Linked DNA regions of Anolis sagrei. The protein of the gene in region 1 purifies or fractionates together with the protein of each later gene. This does not show direct contact. Links are inferred from orthologs where the notes say so. Each region holds a gene or a part of one and is shown on either strand. Other genes may lie near its edges. The genes, in order: CDK19 and MED24.

Region 1 (11,705 bases):
GCTATTAAGTCAGTACTGCATTATTGGTACTGTATTGAGCCATTTGGAAATTACTTGAGCAGGTTCCTTGTGAAAGCAGGTGAGGTCATTCCAATATACATAGTATGGATAATTTACATGATATTTACATCTATTAAGTTTGCATTTGCATCCCAGATGTTATTTTCAGATATTTCCTGTGTTTGAGCTCAACTATTTTTAAAGACTGATCTCAAGATCACAGAAACATTTATTTGGTTTATCATCAAGTTTAGGAACAAAGACAAACTACATTTGCAAAAAAAGGGCTTTAAAAAGTCAAATGGTTTTCTTCAATGTTGTGGTTTCACCTTTGGTCAATATTGTTTAGCTGTACAGCTATGCCCATCCCTTTTATGTTGTTACAGTCAATACAGGAAACTCTTACCACTATGACATTTTCTCTTTTGACTTCGGAATGCAATTCTATAAATTTCTACTGAGGTCTATGCTTTGCTGAGTTTTGTGAGATTTAATTGCAAGAAAATGTGCATTGGAATTGCAATTACAAACCTCAAAATGCTTATATTTAAAAATAAATATATCCCTTTGAATATAGTATATATAATATTTATACTTCAGCCAAAAGGGCTCCCAGAGCTTCATAGAAATTGTTGATTTTTACAATTTATAATTTTTGATTTATACCCCACCTCTCAAGTTGTTTAACATGAAACTGTTGGGTTTGGAGTTTGGTGCCATCTGTACATACACAGATAACACTCAACTTTATTACTCATTTCCACAAGATGCAAAGGATGCTGTCCTAACCCTGAACTGAGAATGAGCTGAGAATGAGGATGAACAAATTGGAATTGAATCCAGACAAGACAGATGTACTGCTGGTCAGTCATAGGGCTGATCAGGGTATTGGGCTGCAACCTCTGCTGGATGTCATCACTCTCCCCCTGAAGGCATAGGTTCGCAGTCTAGGGAGGAAACCTCCTGGACTCAGAGTTGAACCTGGAGGCCCAGGTGTTGGCGGTGGCTGGAAGGGCCTTCACACAGTTAATAATAATAATAATAATAATAGCATAATAATCCTGACCTCACAATCATGTTAAAAAACAAAGTATGTCTGCTGTGGACTCATAATAATAATAATAATTATTATTATTGTTAATAACACTGGGTGCAGTGCCTAAAGTCCTTGGCCTGCACTTAAACACAATCGGCGCTGACAAAATTACCAGCTGCCAGCTGCAGAAGGCCACTTTACTGGGATCTGCACGCATTATTTGCTGATACATCACACAGTCCTAGACACTTGGGAAGTGTCCGACGTGTGATCCAATTCAACAGCCAGCAGAGTGTCTGCTGTGGACTCATCTTGTTGTGTTTCAAATAATAATAATTTATTTGTATACCGCTCTATCTCCCCAAGGGGACTCAGGGCGGTTTCCAGCATAGGTAAAGCATTGCAATTACTGACATAAAAACATACAGAATAATCATTATAAAACAAAGGCTTCATACTATGTAACAGTCATACATATTTAAAATTAAAAGCCAGTTCAGTACTAATTTCTATTGGGCAAGTTCAGTTACCAATGGCCAGGATTCCAGAGTGGGCCTCGATAACTATGGGAGGGCTGGGCTAGTACAACAAAGTAGACTAGGGCCAGGAGAGTGGATAAAGTGCAAGCATGATCCTGCGTGATGGTCAGGATGGGACCTGGAGCTATTTATTTCCAAGGCCTGCTGCACAGATATGAGAGGGCTGGGCCAATAGGGAAACATAGGGCCGGGGAAGTGGGTAATGTGCAGAACAGGGCTCTAACTAATGGTCATTTCCAGGGCCTGTTGAATAGCTGTAATAGGGCTAATGAGGTAGCAGAGGGCCAGGTATGTGGGTAGAGTGCAGAGTGGGGATCTAACTGATGGCCAGGGTAGGACCTGGGGCTAATCACTTCCAAAAGCCTGCTGGAACCACCAGGTCTTCAGGTCCTTGTGGAAGGAGGCTAGTGATGGATCTTGTGGAAGGAGGCTAGTGACACCCACACCTTGAGAAGCCTGATCTGGCCATGGTAGTACATGCCTTAGTCACATCCATATTAGATTACTGTAACACGCTCTACATGGGGCTGCCCCATAAAAGTGTTTGGAAACAACAAAGGTCAGTGGCCAAGCTGCTTATGGGGGTGGGATATGGGGAAAGAACTCCGCTACTGCAGCTACACATGGTTCGAGCCCAGCCTACTTGAGGGACTGCATCTCTTTTTACCAGCCCACACGGGCCTTGAGATCATCAGGAGAGGCCCTTCTCTCAGTCCCACTGCTGTCACAAGTGCTGTTGATGGGAAAGAGAGAGAGGGCCTTCTCGGTGGTGATCCTGCGGCTCTGGAACTCCCTTCCCAAAGAGGTGCAATTACTGGCCTTTCACTCACAAGTTAAAACCTTTTTGTGGAATCAGGCCTTTTCTGATAACCTATAATAGGCAATGACCAGGCAGCTATTGGTAAGGCACATCACCGAAGGCTATTTTGAACTTGGCGATATTTACATGGCCTAAAAAAGTGGAGCTTCTAGGATCTTATTATAATGTTTTTTAACCTCAATGGCCTGAGGCCCAGGGAATTTTTAATGGTACGTGTTGTATTTATTATGCTTGTTAGATATGGTTTATGTAATGTGTTGTTTATCTGTTAATTTGAGCGGTGATGTTCTGCTTTCTGTGTCATGTAATTTCTGCTATTTTTTAACCATTTTTTGCCACTTCGAATCCCACCCACGGGAGAAAAGTGGGATATAAATCAATCAATCAATCAATCAATCAATCATCCATTTCTTGCCTGGAGGCTTAATACCATGCAACAGACAAGGAAAAGGGGTCAGCAGTGGGGAAGGAGATTAAGTCCAGCAGATACGACCTCCTCTTCTCTCCCTGCAAAGTCCAGCAGTGGCACCTGAAATGGAGGGAGGGCCTCTCATCAGCTACCAGGGTTTGCTTTTGAGTGGACATACATAAGGCTGCACTATACCATATTTTATTCGTGAAAAGTGTTATATAGCTGAAGTAAGGTTTGGAAGATGGTTTATCCACCTGCATTTAAGTAACAAATGCCATTGTGGCACACCAGTCTGTGTTGGGAGAAAAAGACACTTTTCTTGACCCACTTTTCTTAACCAATTCAGCCTTTTGCTCTTGTCATTTGGTCTATGTATACAGTCAGGTTCCAGGCATGTAGCCCCCCCCCCCCCCCAAATTCTGATGGTGGTCCGCGAGAAGGCCTTACTGGTGCATTATTTAAACTGCTATGTTTATTCATATCATGATCTGATCACTATACTCAATATATCCCATATGTATGGGGGTATTGGGATAACGATACAAAAGGTTTGCTAAGGTAGACCCTCTTTCACTCAGACTCAGTCCCCCGAACCAAACTCAGCCCCCTCCCCCCCGAAACAAAATCCTGACTACGGGCCTGTCAGGATCCTATATATTAAGGAAAGAATGAATACTATCGTGCCTCTATTACCACCATTTGATGTATGAGGGTTTTTTCACATTTACATTAAATGAAAATGTCTGTTACATTTCTGGAAGGAAAGGGGAAAGCATTGTGGGTCTTGTGCTTGATAACTGACACTAGTATTACATTGAGAGATTTCCATATAATGCAGATGTTATGTGTTGTTGTTGTGTCTTTAAGTTCTTTCTTACTTATGGCAGCCTTAAAGTAAACCTATCATGGAGTTTGTCTCCCCAAGGCTGAGAATGTGTGATTTGCCAAGGTCACCCAGTGGGTTTCCATAACTAAGAGGGCATTCATTTGAACCCTGGTCTCCAGTCATAGTCCAATGCTTCATCAGATTGCCTCTTATGATGTCTTGATTCATTTCTTAATGCCTTGAGAGTGACAAAGCTGAGCAGAAACTCCCAGAAAGAGATGGGGGCAAACCAGCAGAGACAATAATTATTTATCTAGGTTGATTTGGAAGTCAACAGGTTTCTCATTCAGGACACCCCCAGCATTACCCTAACATGTTTGTCCTTATGGGAAGAAAGAGAGGCCACTCTGGTGGTTTATTGCCCTCACATTGGCACCAATTTATGGTAAGAGTATGAATGAGAGGCTTGCAAGACGCCCTTCCATCACAAGCCCTGCTCGAGTCCACAGACTCAAGGCTGTGGCTTGCTTGACTGAGACAATCCATTTGTAATGTGGTTTTCCCTCTCCCCCCATTGCCTTCTATTTTAACAAGCATTATTGTGTTTTCTAGTGAGCCATGTCTTCTTGTGACATGGCCAGTCACAATTTAGTCATCATGGAAGGGTTCAGGCTTGCCTAGAGCAATAAAAGATAAAGGTAAAGGTTTCCCCTTGACCTTAAATCTAGTTGTGTCTGACTCTGGGAGGTGATGGACATCTCAATTTCAATTGTCCGTAGACACCTCCAAGGTCATGTGGCCAATGTGACTTCATGGAGCGCCGTTACATGGAGCGTCCTAGAGCAATAGGACCCATTTATTAGTCTTTTTCGTAGTCCATCGTATCCGCAGGACACTTCTCCAGCAACACATTTCAGATGACTTCATTTTCTTTCTATGAGCTTTATTCACTGATTGGACTGCAAGGTTGGCAGAAGCTGGGCATAACAGTGGGAGCTCACACCACTCCCCGGATACGAACCACCAACATTTCGGTCAGCAAGTTCAGCAGCTCAGCAGCTCAGTTTAATCCGCTACGCCAGGGGTTCTCAACCTATAACTCCCAAATGTCAAGGTCTATTTTTCCCAAACTCCATCTGTGTTCATATTTGGGCATATGGAATATTTGTGCCAAGTTTGGTCCAGATCCATCATTGTTTGAGTCCATGGTAGTCTCTGGATGTAGATGAACTACAACTCTCAAACTCAAGGTCAATGCTCACCAAGCCCTTCTAGTGTTTTCTGTTGGTCATGGGAGTCCTGTATGCCCTGGTTTGCTCAATTCTAATCATGGTATTTGATTATAGGTGAACTATAAATCCCAGCAACCACAACTCCATATCTCTCTCTCTCTATCTATGGCTGGATGGCTCTTTGTCAGGAGGACTTTGATTACATTTTCTTGCCCCGATGAAGGGAGTTGGATTGGATGGCCTTAAGCATTTTCTGATGGTCATGGGGGTTCTGTGTGGGAAGTTTGCCCCAATGCTGTCGTTTGTGGTGTTTAGAATGCTCTTTGTAGGTGAACTGTGAATCCCAGTGACTACAACTCCCAAATGTCAAGGTCTATTTCCCCCCAAACTCCACTAGTGTTCATATCTGGGCGTATTGAGTGCTTGTGCCAAGTTTGGTCCAGATCCATCATTGTTTGAGTCCACAGTGCTCTCTGAATGGAGGTGAACTACAACTCCTCCATTGCCCACCCAATCCTTCCAGTATTTTCTGTTGGTCATGGAGTTCTGTGTGCCAAGTTTGGTTCAATTCCATCGTTGATGGAGTCCAGAATGCTCTTTGATTGTAGGTGAACTATACATCCTAGCAAGTACAACTCCGAAATGACAAAATCATAATTTTTGAGTGATGGTCACTCCTTGTGTTGTGAAATGTTTTGTTGCCAAATTTGGTGTGATTTCGTTCATTGGTTCTTTTGTTTTTGAGGTACTCATTATGCACAGAGCATTTATATATATATAGATTACCTTCAAGTTATGTGTGTTCACGACGTTCGTGCCTAGACACGGGTCCCATCTGCAAGTTATCTAATGTACGTCTATGTAAACACAGATACCTCCAAACGCTGGCTTAGCATAAGGGACGCTCAACCTATCGCGATCACTGAGCAATGTCAAAGCAACCAGCCAATGGGGGGGAGGGGGGCGGGTTCAGGAATGGAGCGGAGGCCACGTGACCAGAGCCATTCTCAGAATGTTTGGGGAGGGGGAAGGGCGGGAAACACGAAGAAGCCTCGTAGCTTTACATCTAAGGAGGGAGGGAGGGAGCCTTTGCCTCTGAAAGCCCCGCCTCTTCCATTGATTGACAAGTAGCTCCGCGCTTCAGTTTCGTCCTCGAAGCGGCCTCAGTGGTCAAGCGCGAGGAGGCGGGACGAGTTTGAGCCAATGGCGACGGGCGAACGAGTGGGAGGCGGGGCCTAAGCTTGAATGACAGCTCAGGAGATAAACAAGCTGCAGCGCGAGGCTCTCCATCAATCCTGCTCGGCGGTTAAAATAATAATTATTATTATCATAATAAAAGCCCGACCCGGGTCTCGCTCCACGTTTCCCCTTCCTCCCTCCGACTCTTCCGTCGCTGCCCCGCAACGTGAAGAGTCAGCAACTTCCCAGCACCCGCTCAGGAATGACTCTGAGGGGGGTGCGCGGCGGCGGCGGCGGCAACGCGCAGGCGCGGGGAAGCCACCGCGCCGCGAGGGCCGCCGGGAATCGTAGTCCCCGTCACCCTCCACCTTCCTCGAGCGCCTGCCAGTTCTGCCTCCTCCGAGCACTACGAATCCCAGGATCCCTTGCGAGCCTGAACAGCTTGGGAAGCCCTGGTTGAAGCGGGCGGCGGAGCGAAGTGTTTCCCCCTTCATAATACACGTACAAAAACAAAAACAATATATATATTTATATACATTTCCAAAAAACCCCAAGGAAATGGTAGCCTTCGCGCTCGCCTAAGCGCCATTCCCTTCTTCCTCCTCGCCCTCCACCTCCTCGTCCTCCTCCTCCCGCGCTTTCCTTCCATGGGTGAGAGACATGGACTACGAGTTCAAATCCAAGCTGGCGGCCGAGCGCGAGCGGGTGGAGGACCTCTTCGAGTACGAGGGCTGCAAAGTCGGGAGGGGCACCTACGGGCACGTCTACAAAGCCCGGCGGAAGGACGGGTAAGGAGCAAGGCGGGCAGGGCAGGGGAGGGGAGGGGGTTACACATCAGGCACGGGCAAACTTGGGCCCTCCTGGTGTTTTGGACTTCAACTCCCACAATTCCTAGCAGCCTCGGGCCCCTTCCTTTCCCCCCTCAGCCGCTTAAGCGGCTGAGGGGGGAAAGGAAAGGGCCCGAGGCTGCTAGGAATTGTGGGAGTTGAAGTCCAAAACACCAGGAGGGCCCAAGTTTGCCCCTGCCTAATGTATATATATCTGTATATCTTTGTGTGTATGGAAGTGAGAAGAATCTCCCACTTGGAAAGGAAATACACTTCTGGAAGAGTTATCATCATGGAGAAAAGGTGTCTCCACTGAAGCTTTCACCCAATTTCTTTCAGAATCCAATTCGACAGGGACAGAAAGTGGGGTGAATAATAATAATAAAACTTTATTTATACCCGGCTACCATCTCCCCAAGGGACTCGGTGTGGCTTACATGAGGCCAAGCCCACAATACAACAATACAATACTGTGCTGTCGCACGCTGGGCCTGTGCATAAGACTGTAGACAGGACATAAATTCTGTGTGCCCAGCGGGACGCCGGGGCTGCCTCAGATTAAAGGCCCTTGGATTTCCTTAAAGCAGAGTCTTTAGATTGCTTAAAGGTTCAACAGAGTTCTTTATTAATGAAAACAAACAGGTACTTTAAAGCTTTCTTAACAGTCTATAGGCTCTTTCAATCTTGTCCACAGGGAACAGGCACTATCTTCATGACTGGTATTTTAACTAATGGGGAAATCCTTAACTTCTAATCTGGACAGTCTGTCTTTGCCCCTGCACCCGGTACCAACTGTGTCTGGCTTCCGCAAGCGACCCTTACCAAGCAGAGCTTTGTAGACTTCCAGGGAAAAAGGAGTTCAGGTTTCGGTGATGGCTGGCTGAAGTCCCTCAGCAAAGGAACTGTAGGGCTGTACAACCCCGGCCAAGCTGTGGGCTGTATATCTCCCCGGCCAAGCCGTGGGCTGTATATCTCCCTGGCCAAGCTGTAGAAGACGAAGCTTTCTACAGGAGCTCTTGGTATTATGTCCTGCATGAAAGTCTTCGCTGTGTGGACTGAACCCAAACTGGCTCCTATTCCCCCCAAAACCCAAAAGGGGGTGGGACCAGGGAACCTAACTATAATTGACAGGTGGCTTGCCCTATGATTGCAGCCAAAAGAAGTCACCTATCTACAGAGCCCCTGAAACTCAGGACTGCAACAAACATTCAATGCAAAGCAAACAAAATTGGAGCTCCTGGTACAGCTGTACCTGCACAGGAGTGAACATTTCTGAACAGGAGCACAGACACGAAAACAGGGGTCACCAAACTTTTTAAACATTCAATGCCATTAGACGTACAACACATATAGACAGACACAGAGGCAATTTAACATTCCAGCTCGGGTGTCACCGTCCACTTGTGACACCAAGTCATTGATGGAGTACTTCCTCATTCTTACGCATGCTGCTGGAAGGTTTTATGGTGTCATAAATTAGTTAAATTAGCCTCCCCACATAAAACGGTACCTAAATTTCCTACTCAATAATAATAATAATAATAATAATAATAATAATAATAATAAAACTTCATTTGTACCCCGCTACCATCTCCCCAAGGGACTCGGTGCGACTTACATGAGGCCAAGCCCACAGCACATCAATAAACAAAGGCGACAACAAATAATCAATACAAAACAGTTAAAATAAAATAAAATAAAAACTCAAAACCAAAAAAATACACAATAAGCAATAAGCAATATCAATAACATACAGCATTTAAAAACCAACAGTCTTTTGGGCTGCCTAGGTCAACAGCAAGCTTGACCGTTAATGGTCGGGAGCTCACTCCGACCCAGGCTGGCTTTGAAGTCATGACCTCTCAGTGAGTAGTGATTTAATGCATGAAGTAAAGGAGGATATCTCATGAAAAGAGAACTGAGGCAGTTATTAAGAGTTTAAGGCAGGGGTCCTCAAACTTTTTAAACAGAAGGCCAGGTCACAGTCCCTCAAACTATTGGAGGGCCGGATTATAATTTGAAAAAAGCATGAATTAATTCCTATGCACACTGTACATATCTTATTTGTAGTGCAGAAAACACATAAAAACAATACAATAATTAAAATGAAGAACAATTTAAACAAATATAAACTTATTAGTGTTTCAATAGGATGTGTGGGCCTGCTTTTGGCTCATGAGACAGGATTGTTATTGTTGTTGCTGTGTGCTTTCAAGTCGTTTCAGACTTAGGTTGACCCTGAGCTATTTTTTATTTTATTTATCATGTCAGGAGGAACCAGACAGTTTTATTACATTTTTAACAAAACAAAACAAACAAACAGACAGACAAAACACAAAGTTTGCAAGCTTGGTAGTTGATTAAATGTCCTTTGACCAGTATCTGGCCACTTGGAGTGCCTCTGGTGTTGCCGCAAGAAGGTCCTCCCTTGTGCATGTAGCAGGGCTCAGGTTGCATTGCAGCAGGTGGTCAGTGGTTTGCTCTTCTCCACACTCGCAGGGCTGGGTAAATGACCTTACCTCGGGCCTTAGTTTGAGGATCCCTGCACTAAAACAAATACCACAGAGGTGTCAACCCTTCTCTATGCTATCCAAAGCTTATTTATTTGCCCGGAATTACACTTCAAAAATATACCTGCTCTGACTGACATATAAATTCAACTTAATTATAAACCTACAGAACCCACCTCAGGACAGTAATCCAAATCAAAATCCAATTCTCACAGGGACAGAAAGTGAAGTGAAATCTTCCAAAAAGGGGCACAGGGAGCCAAACAAAAACCATTGAGGTGTTAGCCTTGGAAGTGTATTTCACTTGCCTAGTTTCCAACAGACCCCTCAACTTCTGAGGGTGCCTGCCATAGATGTGGATGAAATGACAGGAGAGAATGCTTCGCAAGCGGACAAGAGTTATTTCTCCCACCCTGGACATTCCACAGATATATAAACCCCACTTGCTTAGTTTCCAACAGACCTCACAACCTCTGAGGATGCCTGCCATAGATGTGGGCAAACGTCCACAGATATATGAACCCCACTTGCCTAGTTTCCCACAGACCTCACAACCTCAGAGGATGCCTGCCATAGATGTGGGTGAAACATCAGGAGAGAATGCTTCTGGAACATGGCTATACAGCCCAGAAAACTCACAGCAACCTTTAGGGTTTTTTTAAATCTAAGTGTGTTTGTGGGTGTAGGTGTCAGCCAGGCTTTGAAAATATATGGCCATTCAAGGCTAATCAAGGTGACTAGTTGCAACATTCACACTTGCCTCAAGCAGACAAGAGTTCTTTCTCCCACCCTGGACATTCCACAGATATATAAACCTCACTTGCCTAGTTTCCAACAGATCTCACAACCTATGAGGATGCCTGCTATAGATGTGGGTGAAACGTCAGGAGAGAATGCTTCTGGAACATAGCCATACAGCTTGGAAATTCACAGCAACCCAGTGATTCCAGCTGGTTTTCAGCTGCCCTGGAGACTAGGATGCTGAACAATGGCTTCAAAAAATAGGAAAGGAGATTCCACCTGAACATTAGGAAGAACTTCCTGACTGTGAGAGCTGTTCAGCAGTGGAAACCTCTGCCTTGGAGTGTGGTGGAGGCTCCTTCTTTGGAGACTTTTTAACAGAGGCTAGGTGGCCATCTGTTGGGAGTGCTCTGAATGTGATTTCCCTGCTTCTTGGCAAAGGGTTGGACTGGCCGGCCCACGTGGTCTCTTCCACCTCTATAATATGATGATTATATGAAAGCTGTTGACAACACTTCTGGAAGAGATATCATCATGGGGAAAAGGTGTCTCCACTGAAGCTTTCTCACTAATCCGTGTTTCCATAGCAAGCCAAATTTTTCAAAATTCTATTCTTACAGGGACAGAAAGTGAGGTGAAATCTTCTGAATAGGGGCATAGACAGCAAAACAAACACCTAAGGGATGTTTACTCTTCCCTATGCTATTCAAAGCTTATTTATATATTTATTTGGCTGGAGTTAAAACTTCAAAAATGTATCTGCTCTGACTGACATACAAATTTTACTTAAGAACAAACTTATCTTGTTTGTAATTTGGGGGCTGCCTGTGTATCATTTTTATCTTTCCTTGCTACTAAAGGCTTGTGAGTTAAACTGAAGTTATCTAGACTGGAATACATCGAATTAGAATTTCTAAATAAATGGTTTCCAACCTATGGTCTATGCACCGCCAATGGGACACGAGAACTAAAATATGGTCCACGGCCTCGCCGTTACTACACCGTTGCAATGAGAGCAACTGATCTCTCAAAATTATTTTATAATGCCAAGGCTTATTAAATATGGTTTTCTGTGGGTGAGCAGATGGCGACTGATGACTGGCATATGTTCTTTTATCAAAAACTAGTGCTGATGTAGTCTATCCAATGCAATTTTCTGAATCAGCACCCCAAATAATCAAACCAAATCTAAAGTTGACCAAAAACTGATTCGTAACCCTTTTGGTACTAATGTTGGAGAGTGGTAACTGGTCAAAGTGGTCCCTGGTCAAAAAAAGTTTGGGAACCACTGTTCTAAATTGTTTTATTTAAACTAGAAATATGTTTAAGTTACTGATTCCTGCCTGCGAACCGCAAGCAGGGATGGGGCCATCCTGGTCTCTCATGAGAGGGAGTTCTGCAGTCTGGGAGCAGCCACCGAAAAGGCCCAGTCCCTTGTTCCCACCAAATGGGTTTGAGCAGAGGGTGTGGACAGAGAGAAGGCCCTCCCCTTGTGATTATAGATATCTGACAGATTTGTGGAGAGAGAGAGAGATGATCCTTCAAATAAACTGGATCTAAACTAGCTTCTTCAAACTCATGCA
Region 2 (11,916 bases), on another chromosome or scaffold:
CTACTGCTGTACTGGAACTTTTGTTTGGTCTCTTAGGCATTTTGAGATTGAATGAGTATTGTTAATGTAATGTAAAAATATTTTTTCACAATCACAAGGACTTGACACTTTAGGATTTTCTTTTCGTCTCAAGCTTCAATCTATATATATAAAAATGCTCGGTGCATAATGAGTACCTTAAAAACAAAAGAACAAATGAACGAAATCACACCAAATTTGGCAACAAAACGTCTCACTACACAAGGAGTGACCATCACTCAAAAATTATGATTTTGTCATTTGGGAGTTGTAGTTGCTGGGATTTATAGTTTACCTACAATCAAAGAGCATTCCAAACCCCACCAATGATGGAATTGGGCTAAACATCCCACACAGAACCCCCATGACCAACAGAAAACTCTGTATATATTACAACGCATGCGCAAAATCACATATATACATGCAAATACACAAATAAACATATATACACAAATAAATATATACACATATATTCATATATACACACACAAAACACATACACACAGAAAGGGGGAAGGAAGAAGAAAAAGAGGGAAAGAAGGAGTGAAGGAGAGAAGGAAGGAAAGAAAGAAAGGTAGAAAAGGAAGGAGAGAAGGAAATAAAAAAGTGAAAGAAGGAAAGAAAGAGAGGGAAGGAAGGAGAGAAGGAATGAAAGAGAGAAAGAGGGAAGGAAGGAAGGAAGGAAGGAAGGAAGGAAGGAAGGAAAGAGACAAGGAAGGATAGAACCAAAGAGCAAAGGAAGGGGGGAAAGAAACAGTTAGAGAAGGAAGAAAGAAGAAGAGAAAGTAGAAGGGAAAGAAAAAGAGAGAGGGAAGGAAGGAGGGAAGGTTGGCCACAGCAATGCGTGGCGAGTACAGCTAGTACTCTATAAATGAAATTCTACACTGTATCACAGACAGATTTTGCCATCCCACAGAATTGTGACCAACACACAGCCCTCATTTTGGGGATAGGGGACTGCAGGAGATGGCCTCTTGACATTGTCAAAATCATGATCTCTTTCACTGTGTAAACTATCTTCCAAGAAAGTCTAGGTCACATCTGTGGCAACATCCATTCCTTGGGCAAGGAAGCCGACAGCTCAGCAGGCTCCCGCGTTCGGTGAATCAATCTCCACCTCCTCACTTTCATTTTCATGTTGCTGCTTGATTTTTCCAGGCAGATGGCGAACACTGCAGAGTCCTCCACTAGAAACAGACCAGCACATGACAGAGATGGATGCTGGAATAGTCAGAGACGTGAGAACCACAGACAGACAGAATGTGACTTTCTGGAAAGGCACGGAAGATGAGATTGAAAGAAAATGTTATCAAATTCCTTGATGGGAAAAGCAGGCTTTTTATCCAGTGAAACGGTGTCCGTCTTTAATATCCTTACTGGTGAAATATAGCTGTGCTTCATATTAAACAGAGCCCAAATGCTGCTTTTATGCAGGAGATGCTGGTGGCAGGAAGCTAAGGAAAGACAGAATGGGTTTTCTAACCTTCCCTTTCATGCTGTAAGATAGCCTGCTGCCCTTAGGTCATATTCCAGGCCATAGAAAGTACTGAAGCATGTGTTGTCAAAGGCACTGGATGCGATAGAGATGCTCTGTCTCTGACCTGTGGCAGTAGTGGGGTGGAGTCCAACCACACAAGCTGGTTTGGCACTGCTAGGCTGTCTTGTTTTTATTGCCACAGCAGACAGCGATAGAGGGAAGCTGCCCAGTGATAACTAAGAGATCTCCATCCATCTGTTGTGGCAATGGCCGCATCCATCTGTTGTGGCGTGACCGCATCTCCATCTACGAACCCACACGCTCACTCCGGTCATCTGGAGAGGCCCTGCTCGTGATCCCACCTACGTCGCAAGCGCGCTTGGTGGGGACACGGGACAGGGCCTTCTCTGTGGCGGCCCCCCGACTTTGGATTGCCCTTCCAAAAGAGCTTCGTCAGGCCCCTACTCTAGCAGTTTTCAGAAGGAACCTAAAAACTTGGCTGTTCCGTTGTGCCTTCGCAGATTAGGAATCCCCATCCCAAGTCCTAGATGCACTTTAGCACAACTATTGTTGCTGCACACCGCACTTTTAATCTTACGTTCCTCCTGCCATCTCAGCACTTTTAACCCTGTACCCCATTGCGCTGGCCGAACCAGTTTTAATAGTGTCTTGATGTATTGTCATTGTGGTTATTTTGCTTAATTGTTTTGATTTGCTTTGTTTATTGTTGTGTTATGTTTTCTATTGTATTGTATTTGAGGCTTCGGCCCGTGTAAGCCGCATCGAGTCCTTCGGGAGATGCTAGCGGGGTACAAATAAAGTTAATAATAATAATAATAATAATAATGGCAATCATGTGTCCCCAATCCATCCTCTTTTCCTTGCACCACTAAGTGCAGGGAAAAGGGAATAGCGGCCGTGGCTCATGTGGACAGTGAACTGGTTTGGATTGCAGCCTGTTGTACTGTCTACATACACCCTTAAGTACAGGGCTGCTCTAAACTATGCCATTTTGTCTTTTTCCCATTTGTTGACTTTGTTTAGTGCTGGGTTAAACTGGGTTTGCCCAATTTACCCAGCATTTAAGTCGCTTCTGGTTGAAGCGACTTAAATGCTGGGTAAATTGGGCTAACCCAGATTTAAATCAAGAAATAGTTTCCTAAGATCTACAGAGACACTCGCTGGAACACCCCAGCAAGCGAGAGTCCAAAAGTGGCAGACTCAAACCCAGAGCCTCAATCAATGGCTGATACCAAATGAGAGACTCCCCCCTGGGCACACAGAAAACTGGGTGACTTGGAAGGCGCTGAACAGACTGTGCTCTGGCATTACGAGATGCAGAGCCAACCTTAGGAAATGGTGCTACAAAGTGGAATCCACAACATGCGAGTGTGGAGAAGAGCAAACTACAGACCACCTACTGCAATGCAACCTGAGCCCTGCCACATGCACAATGGAGGACCTCCTTGCGGCAACACCAGAAGCACTCCAAGTGGCCAGCTACTGGTCAAAGGACATTTAGTCAACTACCAAGCTTGCAAACTTTTTGTATGTTTGTTTGTTATGTTAAAAATGTAATGCAACTGTTCGGTTGCCTGACACGATAAATAAATACCCAGCATTAAGGATCGGAAATCCCTAGATAATGTGGGACAGCCTTGGTTTCTGTCCTGATGGTAGCTTCTTATCCTGAGTACAAGTTATGCAACATCCAGTTATTTAAAATTAACCCCAGATTTTTCATCATCTACGCAATCGAAGTCTTTGCTATAATCTATAAATCAGAGGCTTTTCCTGAAATTCGTTTGTGTGTTTCATTATCTCGCATAGGCATGCAATGTGATCCTTAGTACCTCTTCCTTTCCTGAACACCCAGCTTGGACTTCTGGGATTTCTTGCTTAATTTCTGGTAAAAGCTTGTGTTGAATAATTTTATTTCGCTTACATGAGAAATTAATGCAAAGGTCCTACAGTTATGGTACTCACCAGTGTCTCCTTTCTTGGAAATTGAAATGAACATTGAATATTTCCAATCTGTGAGCCATTGCTTTGTTTTTCATATTTGTTGTCAGATTTTTGTCAGCATGATTATATATTCTTTCTCTTAGCTAGTATATTTATTTATTATTTATTTATTTGGGGTTCTTTTACCCCGCCCTTCTCACCCCGAAGGGGACCCAGGGCGGCTTACACAGTAAGGCAACAAATAGATGCCAATATCACAACAATCATCACAACAATCATCACACTTACAGTAAAATTTCACAGTTAATAACGGCTTCATGCATTATTCCAGTAAAAATTTATTATTTCTCTTAGTCTGAAGCAGGTCTCTGGGGATATAATTTGGTCCTGGTGATTAATTTCTTCCAATACCCCTTTCAAACAGCTATATAAAATCCACATTGAACTGAATTATCTGACAGCGTGGACTAAGATAATCCAGTTCAAAGCAGATATTGTGGATTATCTTCCTTGATATTTTGGGGGTCGTTCCACACAGCCCGATATCCCAGCATATCAAGGCAGAAAATTTCACAATATCTGCTTTGAACTGGGTTATCAGAGTCCACACTTAGATAATGTGGGATTTTCTGCCTTGGTATTCTGGGTTATAGGACTGTGTGGAAAGGCCCTGGATTATATGGCTGTGTGGAAGGGCCCAAAGTGTCTTGAGTGTAGCTTCAATTCTTCTTTCTAAAAGTATAAGGTCAAATACAAAATGTTCTTCATTGAATAAATCTGCCATCCTTTCATCTCTTTTATATAATCCAGCAGTATATTGTCTCCATTATCTTTTCATTTTTTCTTGGTCATATAATGCGTTCCCCTTCTGGTTATAGAGCACCCCTAATCTTGGTTTAAATTTCCCTTTAACTCTTAGATCTTGTAGAATAGGTCTCATGGGCTTCCTGTTTTGTTTTTACCTTTTATTTATTTGCATTGATTATGATAGTAGTTCTCCTTGTCTTTGTACACAAGTAATTTAACAGTTACATTCATGGTTTTGACTCTATTACTTGTTGCCTTTTACTTTGCTCCATGTTTGTCCTTAACTGCTTGAAGAGTTACATATATCCATTGATAAAGAGTTGTGTTAAGGCTTCTCTTTTTTCTTTTTGGATTCAGATATTATTTCTCTCCCCCCACCTTCCTCTTCGTCTTTTCCACTCTGGATTCAGTCCAGAGTTCTTCTGGCTCCTAGTCAAATAGGCTTAGTTGTACAAAATCTATTTTTACATTATCTTTAAATTCTGTGATTATGTTCTTTAGGTTGTATTATGCCATATCAGTTGGTTTAAGTGTTCTTCCTTAACTTTAACTCTTATTTTTTTAGAAGCCTCTAATAAACTCTTCTTTGCAAATATTCCTTTGGAAATTTAATCCACAATATCTGCTTTGAACTGGATTATCAGAGTTCGCATTGCCATATAATCCAGTTCAATGTGGATTTTATACAGCTCTGTGAAAGGGACCTCCATTAACTGGGGGCCCTTCCAGACAGGCCCTATAACCCAGGATCGGATCCCAGGTTTTCTGTTTATCCCAGATTATCTAGTAGTGCAGGCACATATAAGGTGAAGCTGTCCCCTTGACATTAAGTCTAGTTGTGTCCAACTCTGGGGGTGGTGCTCATCTCAATTTCTAAGCCGAATAGACTAGCATGACTGCATGGAGTGCTGTTGCCTTCCTATTGATCTACTCACATTTGCATGTTTTCGAACTGCTAGGTTGGCAGAGCTGGGGCTAACAGGAGGAGCACACTCTGCCCCCTGGATTCGAACCACCAACCTTTCGGTCAGCACGTTCAGCAGCTCAGAGGTTTAACCCACCAGGGGCTCCATGCAGACTCATATAATCCAGTTGAAAGCAGTAAACCTGAGATCAGATCCTGGGATATAGGGCCTGTCTGGAAGGGGCCCGCAACTCAAGCAACTGGCATTTTTTAAAAAAAGAAATAATGTTTTACATTTAAATTATGTATCTTTTATATAAATACATTTTAGTATGTGTATCAGTGGCATTTTTACAATATTTACCTATTCAACTTGTATGCAGAACACATCATGCGATATGTGTGGCTTGATGAATTCAAGGCTGGAGTTAAAATTGCCAGACGAAACATTAACAACCTTAGATATGCAGATGATACCACTTTGATGACTGAAAGCGAGGAGGAGCTGAGGAGCCTTCTAATCAAGTTGAAAGAAAAAAGTGCAAAAGCTGGGTTGCAGTGAAACATCAAAAAACCAAGTTTATGGCAGTCAGTCTGATTGACAACTGGCAAATAGAGGGAGAAAACGTGGAAGGAGTGACAGACTTTGTATTTCTAGGTGCAAAGATTACTGCAGACGCAGACTGCAGCCAGGAAATCAGAAGACATTTACTTCTTCGGAGGGGAGCAACGACCAGTCTCGATAAATTAGTGAAGAGTAGAAACAATACACTGACAACTAAGGTCTGCATAGTTAAAGCAGTGATATTTCCCGTAGTAACCTATGGATGTGAGAGCTGGACCATAAGGAAGACTGAGTGAAAGAAGATAGACGCTGTTGAACTCTGTTGTTGAAGGAAAATTCTGAGAGTGCCTTGGTCTGCGAGAAAATCCAACCAGTCCATAATTCAGGAAATAAAGCCCGACTGCTCATTGGAGGGAAGGATATTAGACGCAAAGATGGAATACTTTGGCCACATCATGAGAAGAAAGGAAAGAGTAGAGAGGACAATGATGCTGGGGAAAAAGGAAGGAAAAAGGAAGAGGGGCCGACCAAGGGCAAGGTGGATGGATGGTATCCTTGAAGTGACTGGATTGACCTTTAAGGAGCTGAGGGTGGCCACGGCTAACAGGGAGCTCTGGCATAGGCTGGTCCACGAGGTCACGAAGAGTCGGAAGCGACGGAATCAACAAAACAATGTGTTCCAATTATTCTGTAACCCGCCTCGAGCCACGAGGTGAGGCGGTAGAAAAATAAAATTATTCTTCCTCTTATTATTATTTACATTTTAAAAGTGTGATACAGTAAAACAGTAAAACTGTGTTACATTACATTTGTTTTTATTTGATTTCAGTGACTGTATTTCAATATCAAGTCAGTACAGAGCTTATGATATGACATAGTATGGGATGTAGTATTAGTTAGGTCAATTTTAATAGTAACTCTCAAGCAAGCAGAAATTATGTTTATTTGACATCTACTAATCCTCATGGGTGCTGATTAACCGAGAGCTCTCTCTCTCTCTCTCTCTCTCTCTATATATATATATATATAAGGTAAAGGTAAAGGTTTTCCCCTGACATTAAGTCCAGTCGTGTCCGACTCTGGGGTGTGGTGCTCATCTCCATTTCTAAGCCGAAGAGCCGGCGTTATCCATAGACATCTCCTAGGTCAAGTGGCTGGCATGACTGCAAGGTGCGCTGTTACCTTACTGTCGGAGCGGTACCTATTGATCTACTCACATTTGCATGTTTTTGAACTAATAGGTTGACAGAAGCTGGGGCTAACAGCGGGAACTCACCCTGCTCCCTGGATTTGAACTTGCGACCTTTCGGTCAACAAGTTGAGCAGCTCAGTGCTTTAACCCACTGCGCCACAGGGTATATATATATATATATATATATATATATATATATATAAAATTGTGTGTGTGTGTGTGTGTATATATTATCTCATTTAAAAGTATTCACATAATAAAGGATAGTTAGTATGGAGTTTGCAGATTTATTTTCTTTATTTATTACTTTAGTTTGTGTGAGTTCATTATAGTAAGCAGACTGTAGCTGTGCTCCTTGGTATTATTATGGCCTTTCTATTATGTTCTTTTTCTCCCTCAAATAGAATAATTCCTTCAAAAACCCCATTACACTCCATTGGATTCAAATAAACTACATCCCCCACCAGCCCTTGCGCCTTAGGGATCGCGCCAGCCAATTAGCGCACGGCTCTTTGCGAAGTGGGAAAATGGCGGAATCCAGGAACTGAGAGGCGTGTGTTTCTTTGTATAGGGAAAGGAATAGGTAAGTGGACCAAAGGAAAACAATGAAGAATCCTCAGTTTTTCTCCACTTTAATAACCAAACCCCCTTTGGTTATTATGTCTGCCCCTTTTACACTGCCAGATAAAATCCAGATTCTCTGTTTTCAACTGGATTATATGGCAGTGTAGACTCGGATAATCCAGTTCAAAGCAGATAATGTGTATTATTTGCTTTGATAATCTGGATTATATGGCAGTGTAGAAGGGGCCTCTTGAGTTTTGTTCACTATATGAGTGACCTGTTTTTAGTCTTGCAAGGAGTTTGTTTTACTAGAATCCACATGGTCTTACGATGTAACTTAAGTTTAATGCAAAATGTAAACTTTGCCAGAGCAGTTCTACATGTCTATTCAAAAACAAGGCATTTTCTATTATTATTATTATTATTATTATTATTAACTTTATTTGTACCCCGCTAGCATCTCCCGAAGGACTCGATGTGGCTTACAAAGGCCAAGGCTTCAAAAAACAACACAACAATACAAAACCTAAAGCAAATTAAAAACAATCAAAGCAATATTAAACAACAAGCAATAAACAATACACCAAGACACAATAAAACTGGGCCGGGCAAGAGTAATGGGTACAGAATTAAAAGTGCTGATGTGACAGGTGATATGTAAGGATTATAGGGTAAGTGCAGTGTGCGGTGTGCAGTAGTCTTAATTCTAATAAAGTGCTTCTGGGACTTGTTATTGGAGTTTTCCTATTCTGGAAAGGCACATCGGAACAGCCAGGTCTTCAAGTTCTTTCTAAAGCCTGCCAATATAGGGACCTGCCTAAGATCTTTGGGGAGGGTGTTCCAGAGTCGGGGGGCCACCACAGAAAAGGCCCAGTCTCACGTCCCCACCAAACGCGCCTGCAACGCAGGCGGAATCACGAGCAGGGCCTCTCCGGATGAACGAAGTGTGCGCGTGGGTTCATAAACGGAGATGCGGTCACACAGGTAGGATGGTCCCAAACCGTTTAGGGCTTTGTAGGTAAGCACCTGCACCTTAAATTGGGCTTTCTAAATATGATTGTATGATATTGCAACCTAACTACCACAGTGAGTTTTATGTGATACTAAATAATGTTTTTCCCCTTTTCTTTCCATACTCTTAATGCAGTTAGTTACTAGTTTAACTGCCTTGGATGAATGCTGTTGAATTCTGGGAATTGTGATTTGGTGAAAGCCCAACACCCTTTAGCAGAGAGGGTGAATGACCTTGTGAAACTACATTTCCCATCATTCCATAACATTTGAGTGGTATCAGACAGCATCAATTCCACGGTGTAGATGTACACTGAGGCTCCTTCTACACAGCTAAATAAAGCCCCCATTTTCTGCTTTGAACTGGAATATAAGGCAGTGTGGACTCAGATAATACTTGTTGTTTATTTATTCAGTTGCTTCTGACTCTTCGTGACCTCATGGACCAGCACTCCAGAGCTCCCTATTGGCTGTGGCCACCCCCAGCTCCTTCAAAGTCAAGCCAGTCACTTCAAGGATACCATCCATCCATCTGGTCCTTAGTTGGCCCATCTTCCTTTCTCCCAGCATCATTTTCCCCAGCATCATTATCTTCTCCAAGCGTTCCTATCTTATTATGTGGCCAAAGTACTTCATCTTTGCCTCTAATATCCTTCTCTCTAACCCAGTTCAAAGCAAATATTTTGGGATTTTCCGCCTTTATATTCTGGGTTATATGGTGGTGTGAAAGGGTCGTGAGTGTCAGCTCTTAGGTCTCCATAGGCTAATATTTTATTTTTTTCTATTTTGTAAGATTCCTTGTAAGCATATGATCCAGATGAAATTAGCTTTCAAGAAACCGGTGGTAGGAGATATGTAGCCTCTCAGCCTACATTTACAGTCTAATCAACTTGATATCACTTTAACTGCTATGGCGCTATGTTATGGGAGTTATAGTCTGGTTGGGGGCACTAGCCCCCTTTGGCAGAGAAGGCTGAAGGCTTTGTGAAACCACAGCATTGAGCCACAGCAGGTAAAATGTTGTCAAAATACATTATTTCTACAGTGGGTACACCCTCTGGTATATATTTTCCCAGGCTCCATGTACACTGCCATATAAAATCCAGATTATCTGCTTTGAACTGGATTATATGGCAGTGTAAATCCAGCTTCAGTTGATTTTTAAAGAGAAGGATCAAAAATGCAAAATGACCTTGTACCTGAAGTATGTATCCATAGGGGTCCTTCTGCACAGCTGTATAACCCAGAATATCAAAGTAGACAATCCACAGTATGTGCTTTGAACTGGATTATCTGAGTCCACACATATAATCCAGTTCAATGTGGATTTTATGCAGTTGTGTGGAAGGGGGCTAGGACTATAAATTAAATTTCCCAACAAAAATAAAAACAAGCTCTCAAGTGGCCCAAATCAATAGGTCTTAGCCTTTGTCAGGGTTAAGACCAATTGATTGAAATTCCCAGAGGAGCTTTCCATCACTCCTGAATGACCACACTTGTGAGCCAAGTGTGGTTCAGTGGCTTGAGCATTGGATTATGACTCTGGAAACTAGGTTTGAATCCCTTCTCGGCCATGGAACCCATTTAATGACCTTGAGCAAGTCATACTCTTTTAGGCCCCTTATATACTGCCATATAAAATCTGCTTTGAACTGGATTATATGGCAATGTAGGCTCATATAATCCAGTTCAAAGCAAATAATGTGGATCATCTGCTTTGATAATCTGGATTATGTGGCAGTGTAGAAGGGGCCTCAGTCTCAGAGGACGGAAAAGGCTAACCTCTTCTGAACAAATTTGGGATCCTTTCTAGTTAGGGTTTAGGCTATGAAATATGCCATTTTTACTGTTATCATGCATATTTGGATTGTTTATTTGAACTTGCTATGATGACCTTTACAAAATGATTCAGAGTGCATCAATCCACCCATAATTTTTAATTTGTTCACCACATTGTGAATCTGTGTACATGTATGTCACACTGGACCAGTGAACTTCACCTGATTTTTGCCTGTTTAACCAGTTTGGAGAGATCTGTTTGGAATTGTTAGTCATTTTGGATTCTTCCATTCTGAACTGGGCTTGGAATGTTTTTTTAAAAAAGAAATTGGTTACAGTTGCTGCTGATGCTACTACTTACTATTGTTTTGCTTTTTAGGTATTTTGTATTCCTATTAACATACATTTTAAAGGACAAGATATATCACCAAATGCTTCGTACAATAGCAGTGTTTTACGAGTAATGAATAAATAGTATTTTTTTAAAAGGAACCATTATTTTCTTTAAAAACAAAACAAAAGAAGCCATGCCTTCAGTACCCCTAGAGGTGACAAGAAATAATGTTATACATTACTTTCAAGCAAACAATTGGGTCTGAATAATTTCGTTACCAGCCTCTTCTTGCTTTTTCAGATCATTTGTGAATATTAACAGCATGGCTTAGGGTGCATCTACACTGTGGAATTGATGAAGTTTGGTATCACTTGAACTGCCATGACTCAGTGCTGTGAAATCACAGGAGTTGTACTTTCATAGGGTCTTGAGCTTTTGTTGCCAAAGGATGCTGGTGCCCCCCCTCCCCCAATTACAAATTCCAGGATTCCACAAACTAATTTTCAATTTGTGTTCAAACAGGGGTCATGGTTTTCCCTCAACTATAGTTTGTTTCAAAGCTATCTGATTTCCTATTGTGGCTTCTACAGCTGATGTGGTTCCCAATAAACCAAGTTTAAGGGAAAATCAAAATAAATTTCTGGAGTTCTCCTAACTGGTCAGAAGGAAGGGCAGAACAAGGTTTCAAGCATAGGTGAAAACAAGCCTAATTCATATCAGTAATGTGGGTTTTCCTGAAAAGTAGAAATGTTTCCAGTGTTCTTAATAAGAATACATTATTTAGCATGTCTCATTGACAAACTTCTAAAGGTTAATGTGGAATTTTTCCCCATTGGAATAGGAGTAATAATGAAACAGATACAGCATATAAGTAGGGCTCCCTTATGCGCTGGACAAATAGCTGAGGTTCCACTTGCTTATGTCCAAAAACATACTCCATCATGATTCTATGGTAGGCGTCTGCTAGAAGTTGACAGTAGTTGCTCTGGAGGACCTAAAAGTCCTAGAGAGGTGTTATCTTGAGGCATTTTTAGGCCCTCCAGTACCATTCTATGGTATGATTCTGCCAGTTTTGTTTCCACCTGAAGTCCAAGAATGTATCCCTCTGGATATGGGAGTTGTACTGCAGTTTGCAATGAAAGTTGCTTGCGGAGTTTACAATGATAAGTGCAATATGTACAAACAGCCAAAGTTTCCAAAACAACACTGCACAGAACCGAAACAGATATATCTTACATCCACAATTGCAGAGATATCACTGCAGCGTTTTCATTTTGAGAAACGTCTGATTTAATTCAAC

What was found.
Region 2: the proteins of CDK19 (region 1) and MED24 purify together in Homo sapiens (affinity purification with mass spectrometry; 6 studies listed by BioGRID and IntAct, counting the BioPlex papers as one, with this or other methods). This does not show direct contact. The link is inferred for Anolis sagrei from reciprocal best matches to the Homo sapiens genes CDK19 and MED24.

What each region holds. Positions count from the first base shown.
Region 1 is NC_090021.1:93,109,127-93,120,831, forward strand, and holds the start of CDK19 (cyclin-dependent kinase 19), read left to right. Parts: upstream 1-6,423; 5' UTR 6,424-6,704; coding exon 6,705-6,832; intron 6,833-11,705.
Region 2 is NC_090026.1:40,874,028-40,885,943, forward strand, and holds the start of MED24 (mediator of RNA polymerase II transcription subunit 24), read left to right. Parts: upstream 1-7,439; 5' UTR 7,440-7,511; intron 7,512-11,916. UniProt on the Homo sapiens protein: Component of the Mediator complex, a coactivator involved in the regulated transcription of nearly all RNA polymerase II-dependent genes.